Linked DNA regions of Arabidopsis thaliana. The protein of the gene in region 3 interacts with the protein of the main gene of each other region in a pairwise test. Each region holds a gene or a part of one and is shown on either strand. Other genes may lie near its edges. The genes, in order: RXW8, CNGC5, CLV2 and AT5G15240.

Region 1 (7,922 bases), 2.6 Mb from region 3:
TTTCGTACGACATAATTTCCATAGATGAACAACTGAAAAATGGCCATCTCATCAAAGAGATTGATAGTTTTAGTTTCTCATACTCTGAGCTCTATAAAGAAGTTCCATTTCTTCTTGCAGTAACTATAAGATGTACATTTTTATCTTGGCAACAAGACTGTACATGTTTCCCCCATATAATTTGTATAGGAATTTTCATTGAAGAAATTATCAAATATCCCAGAAAAACTTACATCTACTTTTCTTCAAGTGAGTGAAAGTATTCCCAGTAACATTGGTTTTGCAGCTGAGCATGCCTACGAGAGAACTCTTGTGCTTAATGCACTGATTTGTTGGAGACTTTGTGATTGAACCAACACATAGGCACTTCACTAGTAAAAACATCTGTCTAGTTCCGTTTGTGAAGTTCGATCTTCTTTGGAGAAAGATGCTCAGGACTTAGTGTCATGTTCTTGACCAGATTCATTGCCTTGGAATCCCCATAACTCTTTAGCTATCGCATCCCCCTCCTCTGAAAAATATAAATCTCATTAGTCTCTAATCAAGTGATATCTATAATCATACACAAACAGTGATATAAACTCGAAACCTGGCTTCAATTTTTCAGGATCTGGTAACTCCTGCTTTTTGAAAGGATTACTACATTCAGCTTTACTCGATGATTTCTGAGAGTGTAATGGTATCTGCGAGTATACATTATGCAATTTTTTATGTAACTCTTCCATCTTTCCTGATATTTCATCAGCTCTGTCCATATCTATGAGAACCTGAAAAGAAACACATCAATCAAGCACCGAGAAGACGCATAAACTGCAGTAGGAACATCAAAGGTTTTGGTTACATTTAATATACCTGGGCAGGATTTTTGTTGAAAATGGGCGCAAACCTCTGCCGACAATACTCACTAAAAAGTAACGTGAGAAGAATTAACGGTATGGTGAAACCCGAAGCAACTGTTGATAGCTTTAATCCGAAAAACCCCAAAGCTATAATCTGTGTCAAGATCAGTGAAAAGATTGTTGTGTTGTGGAAAATAGGCCAGTATTGTCCACCGCTTTCGTACTTCGTAATATACACGTTGAGTATCTGCAAATAGAAACAATTCTGTTGAGCATCTACAAAGGGTTGTCTTTAAAAATATATATCAAGAGTTCTTTTTACTCAATGCATGAGCTTGGCACTACTAATGGCTCTTATCACATTGTACATGACTATAAACATTGCAGAAGCAAAATTCCGAAAAGCACAAATCCAATTTCCATCTAAAACATGCAGGTCACAAAGTAACTAAGCTTTCACAAATTAGGTACAAGTCCATTATGATGCTTTTGGAGAGATTAACTGTGATATTATGTACAAGAGATCAGAGAACACACTTACTTGATTTTTGTATATGAGATATGCAAGGAAAAAGTATATCAGCAAAAACGGCAGTATCAGTGGTGCTATGACTGAATTGGTGAAACCCAGGAGCCCAAACAAAAGCAGCCGAGGAATTTCGGTGTGGTATGGGAACCTAAGTGTTTCATATGACTCATCCTCGTTCTTGGTAACAACTTTTGCTACCAGATTCCAGATAAGAGCCATAGGCTGCATTATTTCACAAGCCAAACTGGCCCAACCAGATGTGAAACAATAGGTCATGAAGAAGCCAGCCTGCATACATGGTTAAAGCCATATTCAAAATCAATGATACAATTTTCATTTTTCCTAATAAATATGAAACACAAGCAACCAGAAAAGCTCAATCCCAAATAATTCCTCCAATGGGCTTTAATATCTCTGATATATAATTTTATCATGGAACGAGGAAAAAGAACAAACTATTAAAGTTCCAGCGCAAGAAAACACTATATCCAATCCGAAAGCTGCAAGATCTTGGCAAAATGTAACCTAGCTAATGTTCAGAGACTGTAGAAACCTGAACATTAGCAAAATTCAAACTTTTGCTCTGAAATGTAAAAGGACTATGGGTAAATTACCTGTGTTGGCACTGCTCTAGCAAGTTGTGCAGGTATGTCTCTGACACTAGAAAAGACATTCAGTTGCCTGATAACAGACCCTGATAATATATTCACGAAGAACACATTCCAAATGGTAAAATATAAGACTTTGATGCAAGCACTCTTCTTCCTTATACTCCGTGAAATACATCCCTCCAAGGCCGAAAAATACATCATCAATGGTGGAACGGCATAGAAAAATAGAATCAAGATCACACTGGGTAAGTACCCTGTGATGACCTGGTTTATAAAGTTCCTGCAAAATGGTTTTGGTGGCCCGATTAACTTGAAAGATGATAAAACAAATCAAGAACATAAATTTTGATTTCTCCAATGGTTTGAAAGCTATAGAGAAGGCTCGTGTGTTCTATACTGCACCGGAGTTCCGCCTACTTTTTAACGCCAATTCTAATATCATGTCCAGAAGAAACAAAACCATATATATATACATGCGTAAGGAACCAGCAGGGCACTCACTTGCTCAAGATGCCTCTTAGAAAAGGAAATGCGTGAGACAGCTGCACTAGTTGAGTCAGCCCTTGAATGAAGGTAACGGGAATAAGAAACACAAACATGAAAGCAACTGCACCAACAAGGGTTGCTATTTTCCGTATCCAAAGTTGTCGATAAGGAATGTTGAGATTCTTCCAGTACACATCATGAGGTTCTGGGGCTAAGTCTGTCACCCATAACATAGGATTTGATGATTGTAGAACCTCCGAAACAACAAGAGCATCATAGCGAGTCTTAAAAAACACAAAAGCAGCTGAACGTTCCTGCAAAACGCAGAAAATTTTGTGGCTTTAGTAAGCTATTCTATATTGTGACTAATTAAAATCAAGCATTGCTACTTCTAATCGCTACCACAAAAGTGAAAAATCTTAGTTAACTATACTGAATTGTCGAATATGGTGCTACAAATCATTAATGATGGTTTAAAACTGTACCGAGTAAACAAAACTATACAAGTCTATGCAGTATCAGACAATCAGACTGCCACTTCCAAAGTTCAATTTGTATCCCATTAAAGTAAAAGAAGTCTTTATCTGTCAGGACCAGGTGAAAAACTGAGAAGAAATGCAGTGGAAACTTCTAAATCAGTTTGTAATGTTAGTTGAAACGATCCTCTCCACTGGACAGAAGAAATAACAGATATCCACATCCTATGCCTAGATCAGGGAAAGACAGAAGAATTCCTTACTTGCTCTGTCGTAGTCGTAGTCATAGTCAACTCACCAAGCTCCATTCCTTTCACACTGTCTGCCTCATTCGATAGGATATGAAAAGAACTTGTGGCTGTAGGTCCTCCACAAAAGGTGCATGGCCTTAAACTCGGTTTACAATTGATTTCAGGAGAAACGTGTTTTAGAGTCTGGCACATCCTCTCCGCATCACGCTGAGACAGAAATTGGAATAATCTAAACGTCACACTTTTTATCTGACATAGAACATTAAATTTCAAATACTTTATCACAAGCACAAACCATCCACATATCATTTACCCAATTTCTACAACATGCTGACAGGTAATAAATGAGAAACTGATGTAGTGATACTGAAATAACCACAGTATCAGAAAGCAGTAGAATGAAAGCCCAGCAGTAGGATACAGACAGAGTTGCTCTAGAAGGTCCTTTCATATTCCCAGAATATGCATCTAAACTGTACCCCTTTTAGCTGATACACGAACTAAATTTCATTATTATATCTACTGTGCTATGTAATATCATCAATCTCTGCATCTAGTCATCAAATAACCCTTTATAACATCCAAGCAGCACATAACAATTCAGAACCATGAAATTTACACCAACTACGAAAGCTATCAACCAAAATGAATACTGCAATAAGAAGTAACACTTAAAGCTGGCAAAATGTTCAAAACTTCAAATCATTTTCACAAAGAGCAATAACAGTTTTTTAAAATAAATCTAGGTGACGGTTTTAATCTGACAAGTAAAGCAAGAGGAAGGTGGCCTGCGTAATAGTTTAGTTAAAAATGACTGTTCCAAGAAATATACGTACCAGCAGTCTCTGAATGATGCCATTATGGTAGACCATTTGGTGGGACACGTAGCTGGACGAGTAGTAGTTTGTGAAGAATTTGCTCAGCGTGTCGCTGTAAGATTGCTCAGGAGACCATGGAATAGCACGGATAAGAACGGTAAATTGACTTGGCTTTGAGGCACATCCAGTAATATGCCCAAGCCTCATTTTAGCTATGGTGCTATACTCCTACAGTATAAAAAAAATGTCAAAAGGTTGGGAAATAAACTAATAAGAAGATACATGGAGGAACCAAGAGTAAGTATTCAAGTATGCTGTATGCATGAGATAAACTAAGGTACGAGGTCCTCACAAAGTAGAGCAGAAGACATGCCGCTGAGGTTATAATGTACAGTGCAAGACAATGAACCCACAGCCTGAGAGCAATAAATGTAATGAGAAAAAATCAGCACTTTACACACTCTGCATAGAGTAACATCTTTCAAAGAGACATAGGTAGAGATAAAAAAAAACATTTACCATTTTGAGCCTTCTTTAAGATTTTCAATTGTAAACACTTCGGATGACTCCAAATGGATTTCCTTATGCACCATCGGTTGCCCATAATAATTAACAGGCAGCACAAAGGCAATGCAAATAACAGCAACTATAAAGAAAATACGAATGCTGCAGAACAAAAAACACAAAGTAAAACAAACACTACAGAACAAAACCAAGAAGCAGAACAAAGAAAAAGCATCTGGGAGAGTTTATTTTCAGTAACCTGAAAATGACCATCCTAAGGAAGACGACAGCATCAAGACCAGCAGCAGCTAATAACTCGTCTTCACTAGTCTCCCATGCTTTCACAAGCCAACTTGGAGACGGCACAAACCTCTCATACCAAAAAGGATCATAACGTCTAGCACCACCACAAACAAGCCTTCGGCCAAAATATACACAGTAATTGGCTGGCTGTTTCCTAAGTATGGAGTAAAGTGATAAAAGAACTATGCATATCGAAATATTAATTCCAGCAGATGTAAGAAGAGCTGATATCTCCATCTTAATCTTAGTTCAACTCCTTCCTGACTAAAAATCGCAGGAAGAGAAGAACTTCATAAGTACGTCGTCTCGTCACAAGATGGCCAACCTAGCAATACAGGAGGTTCTTAGATTGGCAGGAGAAACTGTAAGAAAACATCACAAAAAGAAAAAAGATAAGAACATCGAAATAACAAAAGTCCTGAAATCCAATGCTTAAAAAAACAGATAGGCTAACGAAACACCGCGAAAGAGACTGATAAACAATCGTCGATCAAACGTGTAAGTTGAATCCAAACTATCTTAACACTAACCAAAACTTTCTGCATTTGCATTGCAGATACGAAAAATTGGAAACATGAATCAAATCATAATCAGTACCTAAACTTGCAGAGGAAGATAAGTTGGTTACATACGACCCAAAGATAACAAACAACATAATGCACTGAGATTCAATTTCAAGTTATCAATTTCTGTTTTCCGTTAATCAAAATTACGATTCGCAATTTCAATGGTGCCTAAACAATAAAGTAGAACTACGATAGATGAAAACGCGGAAACGTAGAACAAACAATGAATCAGAGAATCGCATTCCACTAAATCCAGTGAAACAAACACAATTTCGATTCCCAGGGAAATCAATCGAAGCAAAATCATCAAATCCAATTCGTCAGAAAAATTACAGATACAACACGAAGTTGTATAACAGAATAAACCAAATCGAAGAGATTTCAGAAAAAAAAAAAAAAACATGACTTACAGAGAGAAATACCAAAAACTTTGGTTTGACTTCAGAGAATTCGATTGCGAAGAGAACCAGAAGATTCAGAAACCCTAAGAATTCGCAGAGAAGAGAAGAGAAAAAAAAAAAAATGAAACACCGAATTGCTTTTAAAATTCCAATTCCGCGAAGAGTTCGCATTTCCAGTTCATTCAAATCATAACTTAAAATGAAAACATGCAAATAATTAAAATTAAATACAAATGATTAGGCCACGTTGTGTGGCCGGTGAAGAAGGGAGCGACGATTAGGCCACGTGTCGGTTATAAAATGGTTGATGCTCCAAGATTTGATACTATGTGAGAGCGACTACTCTGTGGTCGAATTTATTATGACCGTTGGTTTTGTGATAGAATGGGTAAGATAGCGACACGTGTGGGTGCGTTTTTTTTCACAACGTTCGCTCAAGTGTTAGTTAAAACTGTTATGACTATTGAAAAATTAAAGGAAAGGTGAAGAAGGAATCATGGATTTTGGATTCATGTGTTTCTTGTTGCAAGTGAGATATGCATGAGTATGACATAAAAGTTTTATTCAATATAGTACTACTAGGCCTGGACATTCGGTTAACCATTCGGTTTCGGTTCGGTTGCGCATGGTTTCGGTTATTTCGGTTATAGTAATATAAGAACCATTTTGGATATTTGAGGAATTTTGGTTCGGTTCGATTCGGATATCTTTCGGTTCGGTTCGGTTCGGATATTAAACTTGGTAACCATAAATAAACCAAAACCGAAATAACCGACTAAAAACCGAAACAAAAAAAAAAAATTGACCAATAACCGATATAGAACGTACGTAAAAAAAGATATATTCACAACTCACAAAGATGCAAATATGGTCCATACTCTCCATAATATTAAAATACCTGATTCACAACTCACAAAATTCAACTTGCAAACTAATAAAGAGAAGAACATAGTTAAGTGTCAATACATACAATATATGTGATATATTATCTATCATACATATATGCTTTGGTTATCCTTTGGTTATCGGTTACTAACCTAACCAAAACCGAAACCGAAATCTAAAACATATAATATCCAGCCGGTTATTTTAAGCTATCCAAACCCGAACCGAACCATGTTTTTCGGTTCGGCTCGGTTCGGTTAATCGGTTAGCGGTTCTTTTGCCCAGGCCTAAGTACTGTAGAATAGTTTTTTTTTTTTTTTCTTATGAAAGTAACATATGTATACTATTTTGGGTATTATTATACTAGTATGTTACAAAAGGAATAAAATAGTCTAAAACGTATAAAATTCCACTATTTGATTGTATATTTTTCCGTTGAAAATATTTATCTTTATCCCACCAAATATTATTATAGAAAAAGAATGAATATTTAAAATTTAAGATATGAATACATAGTGAGACATGAATTAAGATGAAAAAAAATTTGAAACAAAAAGATACAATTTTCTTTGATTCCTCAACATCAATAGACTTTGCTCAAATATTTATCGAGTAAATTGTCGACGATAACTTGATAAGCTCTTTCAGATGGATGATAGCTATCCCAAAATATGTATGATGAAGAATTAGAACACGTAAATGGGTTCAATGAGTTACATAAATAGGATATTGTGAGCAGTCCTTTACCGCAACATCCTTTATCGGCTACGTCAAAACCTAAAAGAAATGAGATAATTGGAATAAAATTTAGTTCGACAATAAAAATGAATTATAATATATAGTTTCTATATAGATAAATCTGTTAGATGAACTTACCGTATTTTTTAGGGTGTTGGATCATGTCAAAAAGAGTATCATAAACATTAATGTAAAGGATAACACCATCCAACTCTTTATCTAAAGAATCTAATGCTGGAGAAAGTCTTGCGTTGAATTGTTTTGCCATGTTGTTTAGAGGTTCATTACATCCTCTTGTAAAAAAACCTCCAAAAACTGTTCTTTGTAATGGAACACAACCAACGGGGACTGCACTAAACACTCCAATTTTTCGAGCTCCAAGCTTATGTAATTCCTAATTATCAGTTATAGATAAGATAAAATAGTTAGTGGATATAACAATATATTATTGATTAGTTTATGTATTATTATATATAACTACGAATAAAATACTTACTCTCACGAAATGGACAGCA
Region 2 (6,500 bases), on a different chromosome or scaffold from region 3:
TGATTCTGCTATGTTTCCTAAGTTTAAACTAACCTTGGAGTTGTAGTCTCACCCTAACTATGGACTAATTCAGCACAAGAAAAGAGAAATCACCAGCAAGACGACGGCGCTCAGTTCTCACCATGGGAATGTCAATATCTTCCCGAGGAAATCCCTGCCATAAGCAAACGAATCAAAGGAGAAAATTAAGCAGAATTTTCGGTTAAGATTAGAGAAGAGTGAGGACGCAGATACAGTACCTCCGAGTCGATGAGATTGCCGGAGAGACCAGGACCACCGGGATTGCAGAGACGTTCGACAATAGAGTTCATCTCCGTCTCCATGGCTGTTCTCTTGTCCATTAGAGCCATCGTCTCCGCTTTCAGATTCGCGCCAACCATCTTCTCTTCTCTTCTCCAAGTCCGATCGATTCTTAATTCTTTCACCGAAATCAATCGCAACTTCTCTCTACCTTGGGACCGGAGCATGTCACCGTGAATATATTGTGGGCTTCATTAAAAGGCCCAATAGACCCATTCTTTAACCGGCATATGATCCTAACCGTACATTTATTAAATCCAACGGCTATAATCTCTTTGTTTCTACACTTCATATATTAATTTTACAGACAGCACAAGCAGCTTTAAAGCCAAGCAATATTTGTTTATCTCAACCGTAATGATTCCCATAAATTATAAACAATAATGTCTACAAGCTGCTCAATCATCAGTCAGCAGTGAAATCAGGCTCAGGAGGCTTCTGCAGCTTCACCAAATCCCTAATCTTTGTGTTCCGGTTCCTGTGAATGGTGCGAAGCGCATTAGCCGCAAACTTAGTGGCAAGAAATGCAGCCCCAATGGAGTATGAAGGTCCAGCGGTTGAGCTGGACACAGCCGCGGCCTCGGCTTCTGCCTCTTCCATTTTCTTCCTCTTGCAGTATCTACGCCAGGCAGCCTGGATGAAACAAGCAGCCCAAGTCCTCCATTGGTGAGAGTAAAACCTGAATGTGTGCTGCACTTGCCTGCTATGTAAGCGCCGGAACTGGCTTGCTACAAACTTCAGCTCCTCTGAGGTCAGCGCAAACGCCTCTACTTCTGTCAGAGCTTTCACGGTCCTCGTGGAAGACGGGAGATTTACACCTGATTTTGGATCCAATGCCCATGTCAGAAGCTCTTCCCCGCAGAATTCTCCTTCTTTCAGGAGACTGCGGTTGAAGAAACCGCTCCTGCCTCCATCTGTTGTCACACTCTCGAGGCGACCACGTATTATGAATAGCATCTCGTCTACAGGATCTCCTTCCCGCACTAAGTAGGTACTCTCTGTGAACAAGCATGGTTTCAGCCGCATACAGATCGCATCCAGCAGCTTGTCGTCCATGCTCTTAAACAATGGAACCTAATATTATGGTAAAAACGTATCATGAACCAAGCTAGCTTGTCGATGGTCAAGAGCTCGTTTTAGTTATGAGCCGACTGTTATTCAATGGGTCCTAGATGTTCAAAAGGGTGTGTGATCTATGTGAGAAGCTTGAATAAGGAACAGCGGGGAGAACTTACCCTTCGCACTAAAGCCAGACAGAGATGCCGCTTGATGTCTCTCCGGAGATCCTTGGGAAGATTCTGAACGAGATACTCTTCATCTACACCACGTGTCTCCAACCATTTATACTGGTCATAGCGCCTCACACGCTCCCTAAGATCTTGTGGTAACATTCTGTGATGCATCCATTGTTCTGAATCACGCCTCTTTACTCTCATTTCTTCAAGCCGGATGGTAAGAGATTGGAGATATGTCTGTCCCAAGATTGCAAAATGTTGTTAGATAGTCATTATGCAGAGGAAACAAATTATGCATGATGCTTCCATTGAAAGAGCTTACAAGAAATTTCTAATGATCACGAAAGTAGCTAAGGTTGCACCATAATTACTCACCTGCATGTTTCCAATGAGAAGAGCAAAGAGGATCAACCCAGAAATGGCGAGAGATATGGAAAATATAATCTCCATTGGGTATGTACTGGTTTCAAGCCCTTGTCCAAGTGTACTGTGGTGCAACAATGAGAAGTACTATATGAATATCTGAAACTCATAGACGCATAACTTTGATAAAGGAGCCGAGTTTAGTGAGAATTGGTAAGATCAAAGCAATAGTCTTTCGACTGAATAGTGATAGAACATGGTTACCTCAAGTTCTGAAGGCCCCACCACAAACAATAACAATATTTTACGATGAAGTTTTGGGACGAGACAATTCCAGACGATAAAGCCTGTGTATAAATCCCAAAGTCAAATGGAGGATTATTATCATCGAGGTCAGCTCGGCACTTGGACTTAAGAACAGATTCCTTGGCTCTGTTCCAAACAGCATAGCCGTCCATGTTTTGATTGCCACAGTACAAGAAATCTGTGCTGCAATTCCCTGCATCTATACAGGCCTCCTGCCAGCAGGCGTCGTTACGTTCTAAGGCTAAAAGGTACCAAAAAGCTCCAACTATCTGCAAGATACGAAACAGTGGCTCAATCAAAATAGCACTTACCAAGTCAATACTATTATTGAAGAGTAAATAAGCTATACAATCAGAGTTGCTCGTCATAAGAAACTTGACATTTGTGATCCCATGAGGCATGAACATCAACTAAGATAAAACGAAAGGTTGCATAGAACATCAAAGGTAAGCATAGACGGCTTAACCAGAAAGCTCAATAAGCTCCTTTACATGTCTTAGGAAACTAAACATTTGAACATAAGTTCATAACAGTGAAACGGATATGCAAATATTTCCTTGTTTTGCACTTTTGGTGCCACAGTCACATAACTCATGGTGAATGGGCAAGCATTGAATAGTACAAGCAACGTCTTAAAATGAAAAAGGTATATAAACTCACATGACTTGCAAGCATATATAAAAGCAGATAATAAGCGGCACCAGCCCAAGCCGTTTCAGCAAAGACACCTGCTGTCCTTTTCAATTCTGACGTCAAGGGTAAGACACGTAGGAATCGCGGTATATACTGGACCAAAACAATGAAAAGCAAGGCCTGCTTTGTAGCCAATACATCCGACCCATTTGAACTTTGCAAGAACCTCCAAACTACAATCTGCACATACACAAAATGAGTACTGTAAATCTAGAACTAGAAAGCGCTTGACAGAGATGTCTGATCACCAACTACTGGCTACTGCACCCTTTCAACAAATTAAGCAATGATGTTTTCCAACACACAATTTACTGAAATGATCAAAACTTATATTAACCAACCTGAGGGAGAGGAAGTACTGAGAGAAAGTCAATAATAAACCAACGTTGTAGATATCTCTTTGCTATCTGTGCAGGATCAATCACGAGTTCACCTCGCCCAAAGACCCGTGATGAAGGTGCAATATAAGCAGTCCTAAGCTGGAGAGCCATGTGAGCGAGATAAAACACATCGATAAAAGTCCGCAATGTACTTGCTGTGATAGCCAGTTTTCTGTCAATACCCAGGCACTTGGACTCAGCATTAATCACAGGAAGATAGAAGAAAAAAGGGTCCACAAACACTGAAAGAATACATGACGCAACGAATAATTTATTGCAATACAAAAGGAATTTATCCTGAGGATCAAATATCTTCTTTTCAGATACTTTAAGGTCTTCTGGGAACACTGCTCGATAAACACCGAAACCAAGTGAACGTCCGATCGACTTAAGCCCTTTGGAACCCTTCTGGATACCTTTCTTGAAGGATCTAGAAGTTTCATTGCTTGCATGAATAGGATGAAGTTGTCCACTGAAATTGGAGGCGTAGTTCTGTTGGAAGGCTACAGATGATGATGGTAACCTAGAGTCCAAATCATCCACCCTATAAAAGGTATGAACAACACCACTTTCAGATTACTATGCACCAACAAGCTATAGTTCAGTACAATCACACTATACTTTCATAAGGAAACAAATCAGAAACAACCATTGCCAAATCAATACGTTTCTCACATTCAAACTTCAGATCTTTGTATTAAAACAAAAGGATGCAGCACTAACCTCACAAAGTTTTCTCTTTTCCCTGCCATGATTGCTTACAAGGAATTCAGAACTCAAGAGCCTTCCAAGATCACTTGCTCAAATCGATGAAGAAAGAGCACAGCTTTAAGACTCTAATCATTAAGCAAGCTGCATCATCCCAAAATAAGACTAAAATACTTAACCTTTGAAAGACCCAAGTAAAAATAAGTCATAACCATATGAAGTTGTCAAGTTGTGCTAAAATGAAGATTAGACTAACTCTGACCAGTATGAAGCGAAGCAACATCATTACATCAACTCAAATGGATAAAAAAGGAAAAAATTTGATGAATGATGGACACCGACACATAGTAACAAATTTAAAGAGGTAGAGCTAGAGAACCAATCTTAAATTTCTCGCATAGAAAAAAGGAGAATTGAATCTTAGAACAAAATTAGAAATAGAGCAGACGTGAACTTGCTGAAGCAAGAGAAAGAGACAAAGACAAAGGCTTACATGGCTACACGGTTTCAAGGGTCCCGTTGATGAGGATAACCAGAGGAACAACTACGAACATGAAAAAGATGAAAGTGGGTATAAAGCTACCAGACAAGTGGTATCGACTTGACACAGACAAAAAAAAGAAAATGGCAACGAGAAAAGATGAAAACGAAGCAAATGACATTTTTACCCTTGATAATAGGATTAGCGTGGATTGTTTTTTTTGTCCTTCAAAAGTCAAAAAGACCTGGGCTGTGATATTATTATACAACACAAGGTGGAATGGAGGATTTTGTACAAGAAGAAGTTTACAAGGTCTTCTACATATCAAACAACCATCTCAGCTTCTTTCACACTCGAAGGAATTCCAACCTCCAGTCTCATTGTAGCTCTATAATGCTCAGGTACAACAGCGCCAGCCTGAGCACATATCTCCACAACAGCAGGTGCTTGCCCGTAGAAGCTTCGTAGCTCTCGCTGCATCGGTGGCCCATTCACATCAGGAACATGCCAAACATATCTTGGCGGTATCAAGTCGTCAAGTACTGCAGATTGCCAACCATGCTGGCCATTCCGCTGTTGGTGCTTGAATGCACCACAGTTCTGGGCCTTGTGTCCCGTTGGACCTACGTGAACCTCTGGACAGTACCCACAGACCCTAACCCTGTACATCCTCATCAGCTTTTTGGCTCCTGCTCTCATTTCTTCCCAGGCCTGTAATGTTTCTTCGGCTAAGGAGACTGTTTCTTCTTCGCTAGATGGGGGAGTGATCTCTGAGACAGGTAACTCAGTTAACAATGGCACTGGAGGAGGCTGAGGCTCTGGATCAGGCAATTCAGTTTCATCTGCATCAACAAACTCGCTTTTGCCAATGCGGATAATCGGTTTTCTTCTCCTTTTTGCTGGAAATTCGGGTATTTCAACGCCGCCCTGAATGCAGAGCTCAACTACAGCAGGAACTCGGGGAATCGAGAATCTTTCATCATGACGGATACGCTTGCCAAGGCGGTCAAAAAGGTGATAGGCTTCAAGAGGAACAATAACGTCCTCAATAACCGAGTTAGTCCATTCATGAAGACCTTTCCTTTGGGAAGTATTGGGACCTTTACACGACTTAAATGGATGCCCATAAGGTCCAACATGAATCTCATTGCACCACCTAAGAGACCAATCATACAACATCAAAAAAAGGCCATACTCAAAACAGACCAAAAATGAAACAAGAAGAAGAAGAGAATTTTTACCCACAAGCATTAACACGAACAACTTTCATAAGCCGGTGGAGATTGTTGATCAATCTGATTCTTGCATTGTATACTTTATAAGCAAGAGGCACAAGGCTCTTCACAACCATACCATTTTTAGGCGGAGGTAGAGGTCTCTTAGGTTTGTCTTTGTTGTTCTTGACTCTCTCCCTCGCAGCTCGTCTCAGGTCCACAATAGGGACTGGGAAAGGTTTCTTCTCTCGCCTTGTGTACTGCTTAGGTAAGTCTTCATTCTGAGGACGATCATTTCTCACAACTAATGGCAGAGATCGACGCTCTTTACTAAGCACAACTCTTGAATTCAACTGAAGGCTAAACTCAATGCTACTTCCCTGCACAACATATCCGCACATAACAGTAAACATTGACTCTCTACTTCAAAGGGAAGCAACGAAGTGTGGTCTAATTCTAAGAACCAAAACAACAACGAAGCAGAGTCTGGAGAATTGGATGATACTGACTAGTAAAGGAATCTGACCTGAAGAGAAGGAGAGAACCCAAATCTATAAAACGTGTTGGGATTAAGAAATTGCCTCCTGGTTACGCTATGAATAGCAAAAGGTACACTTTTTGGTGAAAACCCAGAAACTGTACTAGCTGGATAAAACAACGGAAACCAAAATCAATCACAGTCTCACAATAAATGGATAAAATTGAGCATTGAGGACGGATTCGACACACAGTGAGGAAGAAACTTACAGGAAATAGCGGAGTACGTTATCGACATCGTCGACAGTTGCTGGATTAAACCATTGGAAGATGGAGGATAAGG
Region 3 (4,631 bases):
AGAAGGTGCTGAAGCTGCGGCTGCAACTGCTGATGTAGAAGATGACGGTTGTGCTCTTGATATGGGGCCACCTCCTAAGAAGATAGATTTTGTGGCTGATCATCCATTTATTTTCCTTATCCGAGAAGACAAAACCGGGACCGTTTTGTTCTTTGGTCAGCTCTTCAAACCTTCGGAATTCTTGTTCTGACTCAGATAAGTATTAACCTGGTTATGGTTTAGTGAATGGTTTTGGCAAAGTTATCACAGGTTCTCCGAAACCATATTTCAGTTGAAACCGAGATTGTTAGAAATTAAATTGGTTCTAGCTAGTTAGATCTGTTACTAAACTTTAATTGATCTCCATATCTCTGTTTTTTTCTATTCATTTCGTTCGGTTTGATTTTCGATTATCATTTTTTGTACTCGTGGATTATACATTTAAACACCCAAATTGTATGTTCCTGATCATTACCCACCATTTCCTGTCCTAATCTCCGAAATGAACACCACTACTCACTGACTCGAGTTTCGATGTGTTTAGATAGATAGTACTAGATTATTGAGTCTAATCACTTCTTGAATCACAAACAGAACAAGAACCCAATACGGTTCATGTAAAGGTTAACCGGTCAAACTATATACACAAGTAACAACATTTGGGAGAGACTTTAGTTAAAAGCGAGCATTTCCACTTCACAGCTCAGACCAACAACATACATGCATGTGTTACAACTGAATATACATCAATCAGTCTCTGGAGTTAAGCTTTGGTCTGAAGAATATAACTACGAGCACGAGCTGAGCAAAAGATACCTAACACTCCAAAATCGAAGCTAATAAACGCACTTAAGCAGAATATCCAAATAGATATCGGTCCTTCCACCAATTCGTTTTGATATATTTCCTCTTGTGATGCATCAATGTTTGCCGGGTCACACTTGCTTCCGGGAGTTTCCACACACAGTTCCGGATTTCCGGCCAACGCCCCTGGAAACTTCCCGAGCCCTTCTTTCTCGGTAATGATACCAGAGAAACAGTTGTGCGATAGGTTCAGTAGGGTTAGTCCTGGAGGAGCTGAGATGTTTCCAATGACTTGACCTGACAGAGAGTTGTGTGAAAGATCTAAGGCCTTTAACCTTGGCAGCTTCTCTAGACGTGGAAGCTGACCTTCAAGGAAGTTGTAGGACAAGTTCAAGTACTCAATATTCTTCTGTCTGAACAAAGCTTCTGGGATCTCTCCATGTAATAGATTGTCAGAAAGATCGATCCCAACCATAGACAATAGATTGTAGCTGAAACTTAATTCATCTTTAGCAACAACAGCTGCTGATATTTTGATCTCTACTTTTCCTGGTGGCTCAGCAAATCCTTCACCTCCACCGGTCTGAAAATCTTTGAAGCGTGTGCTGTTTAAGTTATCGTCTGGTATGAACCAAGAGAATCTGTTGCTGGAGTAGTCAATCATTTGGATTTTGTCAAACTTGAACAACCAAGAAGGAAGTGTTCCACTAAACTTGTTCCGGGCAAGAGAAAGATACTTGAGGTTGGACCATTTGGTAATGGCTTCATTAAGGTTCCCCGAGAGGTTGTTGGAACTTATATCCACAATCTCTAGAGACTTCAGACCAGCTAAAGTAAGCGGGATCTCACCGGATATATGGTTGTTGCTTATGTCCAGTATCTTTAGACTATCCAACGCATCAAGCTCGGGTTGTATTTCGCCAGAGAGATTGTTGTTACTTATCATCAGAGCAAGTAACTGAAAGCAACCAACAATGTTGAGAGGTATTGAGCCGGTTAACGCGTTGTGGGAAAGATCAATGACCTGGAGATATGTCAGATTACCAATTCTAGCAGGAATATCTCCAGTTAAAAGATTGTGAGAGAGACGCAATGCTTGTAAACTCTTCAACTCTGTGATCCTCAACGGTATATCACCAGAAAAGCTATTGTGAGAGAGGTCAAGAAGAACCAAACCCAATTTCTCAGTTGTTTCCGAGATTCTACTAGGAAGACGACCTGAAAACCCGTTGTGACTCAAGTCCAACATCACAAGCTTCTCTGAAAACATAAGCCTAGGAGATATCTCGTAGTTGAAGCCATTGAAAGATAGATTCAAATGACTCAGCTCTTTTAAAGAACCCAAACAAGAAGGTAATCCACCAACCAGAGAGTTCTCAGCTATATTCAGAATACTAAGAGACGGACGAGAGGCGTAGAAACAAGGTAGCGTACCGGAAAACTGATTTGAAGCAAGATTAAGAACCACCAATGGCTGCTGAAAATCTCTGAGTGTACCAGTCATGTTATTGCTCTCAAGATTCAAGTACTTGAGAGACTTCAAATACAGTAAACTCTCAGGTAGTTCTCCAACAAACGAGCAGAAACTAAAATCAACTCTCTCAAGATTCATTGAGAAATTACCAAACCAATGAGGGACCACACCGCCTAAATCTCTATTCTCACTTAGAACAACTTCTCTAAGCTCCTTAAGACTTACAAATGTGGCGGGTATCGAACCAACGAATCTATTCCGACTAAGATTAAGTGTCCTAAGATTACGCAACGAACCGAAGCAAGAAGGAATGTTTCCAGAGAAGTTGTTGTGAGAAAGGTCCAAGCTTTGAAGAGAAGAGAGCTTACAAAGAGATGGGTGAATCTGACTGGAGAGATTCAGACCGGATAAAGTGAGGGAGAGAACTTTTCCGGTCGGATTCTGACAAGCTAGACCTGTCCAGTTAGAACACGATGAGCCGTACCATGTCGATAAGCTTCGATTTAGGTCGTGAATCGAAACTCTGAATATCAATAAAGAAGCTTTGTCTTGTGGGTCGAGATCGGGAAGCTGAGATTGAGCTAGAGGCAACGAGGGAGAGAAGACGAAGATAAAGAAGAAGAGAGTGAAATCTGCAATCTTTATCATAGCTCAGAGGAGAAAGATGAAGTTTTTAGGTATAGCGGCAGTTGAAGTAAATTAAGAAGGTTTCAGGGGTGAGTTGCAGAAATCGCAGAGACCTCTCTTTGCAATGGAGAGTGAAGCAACGCGACCTGGAAGTGGAAGTGGAAGATAAAGACAGAGAGAACATTCTCTTTCGGTTCCTTTTGTTTTAGCCTTTCAGACCCAAGAAGTGATTAATTAATGCAAAATTCCAAAAATCTACACTTATTTCTAGGAAAAACAAAATACAAAGGGTTTGATTCAGTACGTAATCCGTATTGTTAATTACTAATTTTATAGGTATTTATAAAAAAATCATATATTTTACTAAGAAATTTTAAATTTAGTCTCAAATCTTATGTTATTGAACCTAGAATTTACTTAAAATCATTTCAAAATAATATGATTCTTTTTTTTTGGATAAAGTTACCATTCATTCTTGTAACGTTTACTATAAAAAAAAAAAACAGCATATGATTCCACTATGAAGAAAAATTCCAAATTTACCGGCTCAAAGAAGAAAGAGTGTAAAAGAAAAATCGAAACCAAATGTACAATTTCACTATAAGTCATACGATTTCAACTCGAGTAAAGAGCTTCAAGTTTGCATAGTCTCAAAAAATAACATGTTCGAAGATGTCGAAAATGTCCATGAAACCAACAATTTAAAACAAAACCAGGCCAGCTTTGTAGCTTTAGGCCCATTCTAACACATTAATTTATGTTTTGTGCAACTCTAAAACTTTCTCTATATAAATGGTATCTAAACCCTAGATCTAATAGTAAGTGCCGAAGAAATCTCTCAAGTCTCTCTCGTTGTCTCAGGTTGGTCAGTTCTTTCTCTAGATTTCAACTTGTTTAGTCTTTTAAGAGGAAAAAGCATAAAGCTTTCTGTGTCATTTTTAATATCTGAGAATTCTAAAAAAAATGTTCTCTTGTGTATTGTAACTCGATTTTCGTCAGATCATTTCTGATTATGGGTATGTTTTGTTTTGCTCTCTAGGGTTGCAACATTTTGTAGAGAAAATGGGTTCATATGCATCAGATTCTGCAATGTTGAAGACTTGGAGAAAGACTCCTCCTTCGTCTTGTTCTCTTGTCAGACTTTCACATCTTTCTTCACTACAAGCATATATAACTAAGAAATGTTGCCTTTTTTGTAAAAATCAGGAGATTGGTTGTTTACCCAAAAGGAAACGAAGAGGACAATGGAAAGGGCTTTGTGTCTATGTATGTGGAATGTCTCTCATCCACAACACCACCCATTGATGTGTTTGATTATCTCTCTTTCTTTGTCTTTAACAAGAAAGACAACAAGTACCTCTCAATCCAAGGTTCGTATGCTCAAATCCTTATTATCTCTCTTTTTCTCTCGTATGTATATATGAATGAATGAATCGTAATGTGTGTGTATACGTGTAAACATGTAGATGTTGAAGTTAAGCGTTTCAGTTCTTCTAAAACGGTTTGGGGATTGCCAAAAGCTATGTCGCTTGAAACATTCACTGACCCTGCAAAGGGATTTATCGTGGAAGGAGAACCATGTGAGTTTGGTGCTCATGTGAAGATTGCTTCATCACCCGTCCCTGTTGATGAGAATCTCCCTTTTCACAAATTCTCTTGGAGCATTCGTGATTTCTCTGTTCTGAAACAGAATGATTGCATATCTAAAACCTTTGCAATGGGAGGAAAGAATTGGTGAGTTTTTTCC
Region 4 (5,276 bases), on a different chromosome or scaffold from region 3:
ATATGGTCATACAGTCAAAGCAACCCACTATCTTGAGACCCACAAAACAGTAAAAAAAAAAGCTAATGAATTTCCACTAGATTCTGTTGTTTTTATTAGTAATAAAAAATTTTTGAGTGTTAACATTTTGATATTGTTTGTATTTGAAACAACCAGAATGCCCATCGGAATGTGATAGGAGGTGTAAAAAGACACAGTACCACAAGGCTTGCATTACGTTCTGCAACAAATGCTGCAGGAAGTGTCTCTGTGTGCCTCCGGGTTACTATGGGAACAAACAAGTTTGCTCCTGCTACAACAACTGGAAAACTCAAGAGGGTGGACCAAAATGCCCTTGAAAAAATCTCCCTTCGTTCCCTTTTTATAATAAAAATTTTCAACTATAACTAAATTTCCTTTGATCAATGTTTTATCTACTTTATTCCTAATGTTGTAATGTTATGTCACTCCTTTTCGGATTTTGTTCTAAATCCTAAAAAAAATGAGAGTGGCCCTATGAATGATATTTTTCATGAATACTTGTGTTTCTAAAGATATTTTCCCATTCATCCACCAAAAAAAAAGATATTTTCCATTTCGAAAATAGTAATACTATAAAGGGTAAGGCAAACCAAATAATACAATTTAAAAAATTCCTGCGAAAGAAGTATGCATATGTAGAAAAGAGTGACATTGGGTCTCTCGGCCCAGTACTAAAAAGCCCATTATTGATTTTTCCAAGCTTTTTACAAAATCACGTGTTCTAACGCGATTGCTTTTTGCCGCAATCTTCTTTTATACAAGACTTGGGCTTTGGGCAGTTGGAAATAAATAACGACAACGATATTTTACAATCGGTGCAATGATATGAACCACAAACTTATAAACGTTTTACCCGTTCATTACCCTACGTATCAATAAATACTCTTAATAATGCCTTATATATTGACATTAATCGACAAGAAATATGAGGTTTGGAGTACAACTATAGTTATTAGCATTAACAACAAAGCTCAATTTAGCTCTCTTTGTTAGACATCTCACATGCATTTTGAATGGTGATCTTGAAGAAGATACTTTTTTTTTTTATCAACATGTGCATGCTATTTTTTCACAAGCACAACATGGGGAAATGGCCGGCAATGAGTATTCTTCTTTTCTAAAGAACTCATTTTGTAACCTATAAAAGTTTTTGGTTTCGATTTCTGAATGAAAACATATTGGATAACTGTAAAAAATTTGCAGTATGGTTTTAATAGTAACGAAAATATATAGATATATATGTCGATATTTTCATTATTGTTAGAACTACTCGGCACCTTGTAGAACATAACTGTAAACTAGCGTCAAGATATTGATTTACGTCAGATCAAGGCTATTCATACTTATCTACTCTTTAGGTCTGGGGATTCACTTGTCAACTATTTTTAACAAACGACAACAAAAAAATATGTGACGATTTTTCAAGTGCTCCAGTCTCGTCCAACAGATTATTGACATGATATACTACTTTGGACCATGTATTTTTATGAAAATTTGATCCCTCTTCAGTCTTCACCGAAAGAGGATTTGGTACTTGCATTCTCTCTATCACCTAAGTTAAACGCCCTAACATTAAAGTGGAAAACTTCGTGGAGTTTTATTTTCTCTCTTCCTACCAATTTTCTTATACAACTAACATTAAATTCTAGAACCACACAAATCGCAAATTATGGTAGATTTGTGTGTAAGTGGTTATAATTTTTTTCTATATAAAGAGTTGCACTTAAATTTCAATTAGTTTCTAAAAACCCCATCCACGAATATTTAATTGGTCAATAAACATTAAATAGAATTCCACTGCCACGCTAATATCGTGTAGATATCATATGTGCATGGATACTGCATAAAAATCAGCTCTAATAATTGATGTAATTTAAAAACATTGACCCTAGTAAATGTATTAACACTATATATATTGCCTTTTGAGGGTTTCTTTATTGTTTACTTCCAAGTTCCAACTTCTCTCTATCTATTTCCTTCGTCTCTCGATCTCTCCGTCTCTCTCTCTTTGTCTCTTCGATATCCAAAGAGCAGAGTCAAAGACTAAACAAGTATGAGCGAGGACAAAGATTACATGTCGGAGCCATTTATCGTTAAGAAGATTGATGATGAAGAATCATTGCTTGATGATTATAATCCACAGGGCAATACTTCTTTCTCCAAGACTTGTTTCCATGGCATTAACGCCTTATCAGGTTTAATTTCCTCTTCTTCTTCTTTTTTTTTTTTTCTATTTTCATTTTCGTGATTGATTTTTTCTTTTTGATTTATTCACCACTTCTTCTTATCTCCAAACTCCATAACTCACGGGGAAAGATCCAACTCTTAGCATGTCCACATATATGGATAGGATATATCTTAATTTTCAAAATAATCTAGAAAAAACTATAATTAGCTTTATTGTACTTAATTTCTATAGATGCATGTTTTTAACTCAAGCTTTTGACTTTATCTTGTATCATCTAGATTGGTGTGTATTTCAATCCTACATTTTGTTTCTTTACCTCCTAGTCTTGCCTCAGTTTTTTTAGTTATTTAATTTTTCTGTTGATAATTTATCATAACCAAGTTAAAACCAGTTCTACTTAGACTGAATTGTGTTTTTCTTCGTCTAGATTCAGTTTCATAGTCTTTGATAAACAATAGTGCTAAATAACCAAATCATTTTTGTTCTGACTATTAAAGGTTAGGATGGTTCCGTTTAACTGAATTTAACACTATAGTATTAACAATTCGGCAAAGTTTTCAATGACTATTGCTATTATTTATTCGCTAAATGTGGTAATGGCCTAATAATGGGTTTATCAAACTGGCCGCTATCGTTGTACTTAATTGTTTATATACCAAACTAGATACTTAGTTTATACTAAAAAAACTAATTATATACTGGAAACACGTCTGACCAAACTAGACCAAACTAGACCATATACGAACAAAAAACAGTCCATATAATTAAATAGAAAGAAACCAGCAATTCCAATTATCTTTCAGATATAAATACAACGTGTCACTGAACAAAACCTTAACACATTAACAACACGTCTTCCCTTTTCAATTTGTGTTCTTCTTCTTCTACAAGACTACAAACCACTTTGATAAAATCAAATCATATTATCTTATTGGTAACGAGACCACGAATATTTCTTTGCGTTTGTGTTTTCAATTAAAAACTGCGTTTGCGTTTTCATATATACAAAAAGAACGTTTGTAAATAGTTAACACAAAAAACGTTAATTAGCATATGCGTTAGGCTTGGACATTCTTCTGATCAACTCTTTTTTTTTTAGGTGTGGGTATATTATCGGTCCCTTATGCCTTAGCATCCGGAGGATGGCTAAGTTTGATCATACTTTTCACCGTAGCGATCACAACTTTCTACTGTGCCATTCTCATTAAGAGATGTATGGAAATGGATCCACTTCTTAGATCATACCCGGACATTGGCTACAAAGCCTTTGGAAACACAGGACGTGTTATCGTCTCCATCTTCATGAACCTCGAGCTTTACCTAGTTGCAACTAGTTTCTTGATCCTAGAAGGTGACAACCTTAACAAACTCTTCTCAAACGTTGGACTCAACTTCATGGGGCTTGAATTCCAAGGCAAGCAAATGTTCATCATCATGGTGGCTCTCATTATTCTTCCTTCGGTTTGGTTAGACAATATGAGGATTCTTTCTTATGTTTCCGCGAGTGGTGTCTTTGCTTCCGGGGTTATTCTTGCTTCTATCTTTTCGGTTGGAGCTTTTGAAGGCGTAGGGTTCAAGAACAATGACTCAGAGGTCTTTCGACTTAATGGAGTCGCTACTTCGGTGAGCTTATACGCGTTTTGTTATTGCGCTCATCCAGTTTTCCCAACTCTATACACTTCCATGAAGAACAAACGCCAATTCTCAAACGTAAGTTTTTTACATAACGGATCATTAGGTTATTCTTGACCAAAACTCACACTAATAATTTTGCATATTTTTTTTAACATTTTCAGGTTATGATTATATGTTTCACAATATGCACCTTCATATATGCATCAGTGGCGGTATTGGGTTACTTAATGTATGGATCAGATGTTGAATCACAGATCACTTTGAATCTTCCTACTGATAAGCTTAGTTCAAAAGTGGCGATATGGACTACATTGGTCAACCCAATAGCTAAGTTTGCTCTCATGGTTACACCTATTATTGACGCAATGAGAAGCCGGTTTTCTCGAGTTTTGCCTAATAAAAGAGCTTCTGGATTTTTGCTAAGTACAATACTAGTTACTAGCAATGTGATTGTGGCATTGCTTCTTCCGTTTTTTGGTGATCTTATGAGTCTTGTGGGAGCATTCTTGAGCGCATCCGCATCGGTTATATTGCCATGTTTATGTTACTTAAAGATCTCTGGGAAATATCAAAGACTCGGATTCGAAACATTGGTGCTCATCGGAATCACTCTAACCGGTATCGTGGTTGTGATAACCGGAACTTACCAAGCGGTCAAGGACATTTTTGGTCGATTTTGAAATCCCAATAGGTGAAGTTTAGCTTATAGAGTATTTGTTTAGGAAGATATTTGTACTACCAACAGTCCAATACCATAATTTGTTTTATTTGATTTTTTGTGACTTTCGTTAACGAAGTTTTTTTGAGTTATGTAATAATTTGGAATGAGAAAAATGTGAATACGTTAAATGAAGACATGAGTTGATCTAGGTGTCTGTATTAGACACTAATCAAGTCATTGATTCGAATTCTTACATCGCCATCGGTATTTAACGGTTGATCAGTATACTCAGACAGAATTGCTCGAAACTCGTCTCCCGTTAAGGTTTCTTTCTCCAACAAAACATCAACAAGCTTGTCTATAGCTTCTCTATTATTCCTCACGTGCTTTTTCGCAACCTCGTAAGCGTCACCGATTATTTTCTTCACGCAAGAATCAATATCCTCCGCAAGTTTCTCGGACATTGAGTTCCTCGCTAGCATCCGTAGAACCACATCGTTTTGCTTAACCGCTGGGTCGGTTAGTGCCCATGGACCGATTTCCGACATACCAAACATCGTCACCATCTGAACCATAAGAATAATTAGAAAATCCACCGTTTTTTTCCGGTTTATGAAAATTTTGTTTCAATTACTGTACCTGTCTTGCTATCTCAGTGACTTGCTGGAGATCACCGGCAGCGCCGGTGGTTATCTCCGGTTCTCCAAAAATTACATCTTCGGCGGCTCTGCCTCCGAGTCCTCCGACGATTCTAGCGAACAATTGCTGTTT

The links.
Region 1: the proteins of CLV2 (region 3) and RXW8 interact in a protein complementation assay, tested with the Arabidopsis thaliana proteins (one large-scale study listed by BioGRID).
Region 2: the proteins of CLV2 (region 3) and CNGC5 interact in a protein complementation assay, tested with the Arabidopsis thaliana proteins (one large-scale study listed by BioGRID).
Region 4: the proteins of CLV2 (region 3) and AT5G15240 interact in a protein complementation assay, tested with the Arabidopsis thaliana proteins (one large-scale study listed by BioGRID).

What each region holds. Positions count from the first base shown.
Region 1 is NC_003070.9:21,730,675-21,738,596, reverse strand, and holds the start of RXW8 (GDSL-like lipase/acylhydrolase superfamily protein), read right to left. Parts: upstream 6,032-7,922; 5' UTR 5,794-6,031; intron 5,180-5,793; exon of another isoform or gene 5,143-5,179; 5' UTR 5,055-5,142; coding exon 4,774-5,054; exon of another isoform or gene 4,677-4,773; coding exon 4,530-4,676; intron 4,427-4,529; coding exon 4,363-4,426; intron 4,239-4,362; coding exon 4,029-4,238; intron 3,400-4,028; coding exon 3,205-3,399; intron 2,780-3,204; coding exon 2,481-2,779; intron 2,260-2,480; coding exon 1,983-2,259; intron 1,657-1,982; coding exon 1,381-1,656; intron 1,087-1,380; coding exon 853-1,086; intron 768-852; coding exon 590-767; intron 512-589; coding exon 432-511; 3' UTR 1-431. Other genes in the region: AT1G58525 (GDSL-like lipase/acylhydrolase superfamily protein), read right to left, coding at 7,253-7,425, 7,546-7,801, 7,904-7,922. UniProt on the Arabidopsis thaliana protein: Acts as an osmosensitive calcium-permeable cation channel.
Region 2 is NC_003076.8:23,454,645-23,461,144, reverse strand, and holds CNGC5 (cyclic nucleotide gated channel 5), read right to left. Parts: upstream 4,581-6,500; 5' UTR 4,479-4,580; exon of another isoform or gene 4,248-4,478; intron 4,130-4,247; 5' UTR 4,030-4,129; coding exon 4,001-4,029; intron 3,822-4,000; coding exon 3,239-3,821; intron 3,078-3,238; coding exon 2,865-3,077; intron 2,474-2,864; coding exon 2,163-2,473; intron 2,023-2,162; coding exon 1,911-2,022; intron 1,773-1,910; coding exon 1,536-1,772; intron 1,375-1,535; coding exon 706-1,374; 3' UTR 524-705; downstream 1-523. Other genes in the region: AT5G57950 (26S proteasome regulatory subunit), read right to left, coding at 94-154, 240-467; APO2 (APO RNA-binding protein (DUF794)), read right to left, coding at 4,791-5,622, 5,708-6,060, 6,207-6,325, 6,428-6,455. UniProt on the Arabidopsis thaliana protein: Probable cyclic nucleotide-gated ion channel.
Region 3 is NC_003070.9:24,285,217-24,289,847, reverse strand, and holds CLV2 (Leucine-rich repeat (LRR) family protein), read right to left. Parts: upstream 3,107-4,631; 5' UTR 2,906-3,106; coding exon 743-2,905; 3' UTR 519-742; downstream 1-518. Other genes in the region: AT1G65370 (TRAF-like family protein), read left to right, coding at 4,149-4,254, 4,351-4,618. UniProt on the Arabidopsis thaliana protein: Involved in the perception of CLV3 and CLV3-like (CLE) peptides, that act as extracellular signals regulating meristems maintenance. Required for the sensing of the root CLE peptides (e.g.
Region 4 is NC_003076.8:4,945,688-4,950,963, forward strand, and holds AT5G15240 (Transmembrane amino acid transporter family protein), read left to right. Parts: upstream 1-1,889; 5' UTR 1,890-2,074; coding exon 2,075-2,216; intron 2,217-2,887; exon of another isoform or gene 2,888-3,308; coding exon 3,309-3,919; intron 3,920-4,005; coding exon 4,006-4,524; 3' UTR 4,525-4,723; downstream 4,724-5,276. Other genes in the region: GASA4 (GAST1 protein homolog 4), read left to right, coding at 157-338; FTSH6 (FTSH protease 6), read right to left, coding at 4,724-5,071, 5,145-5,276.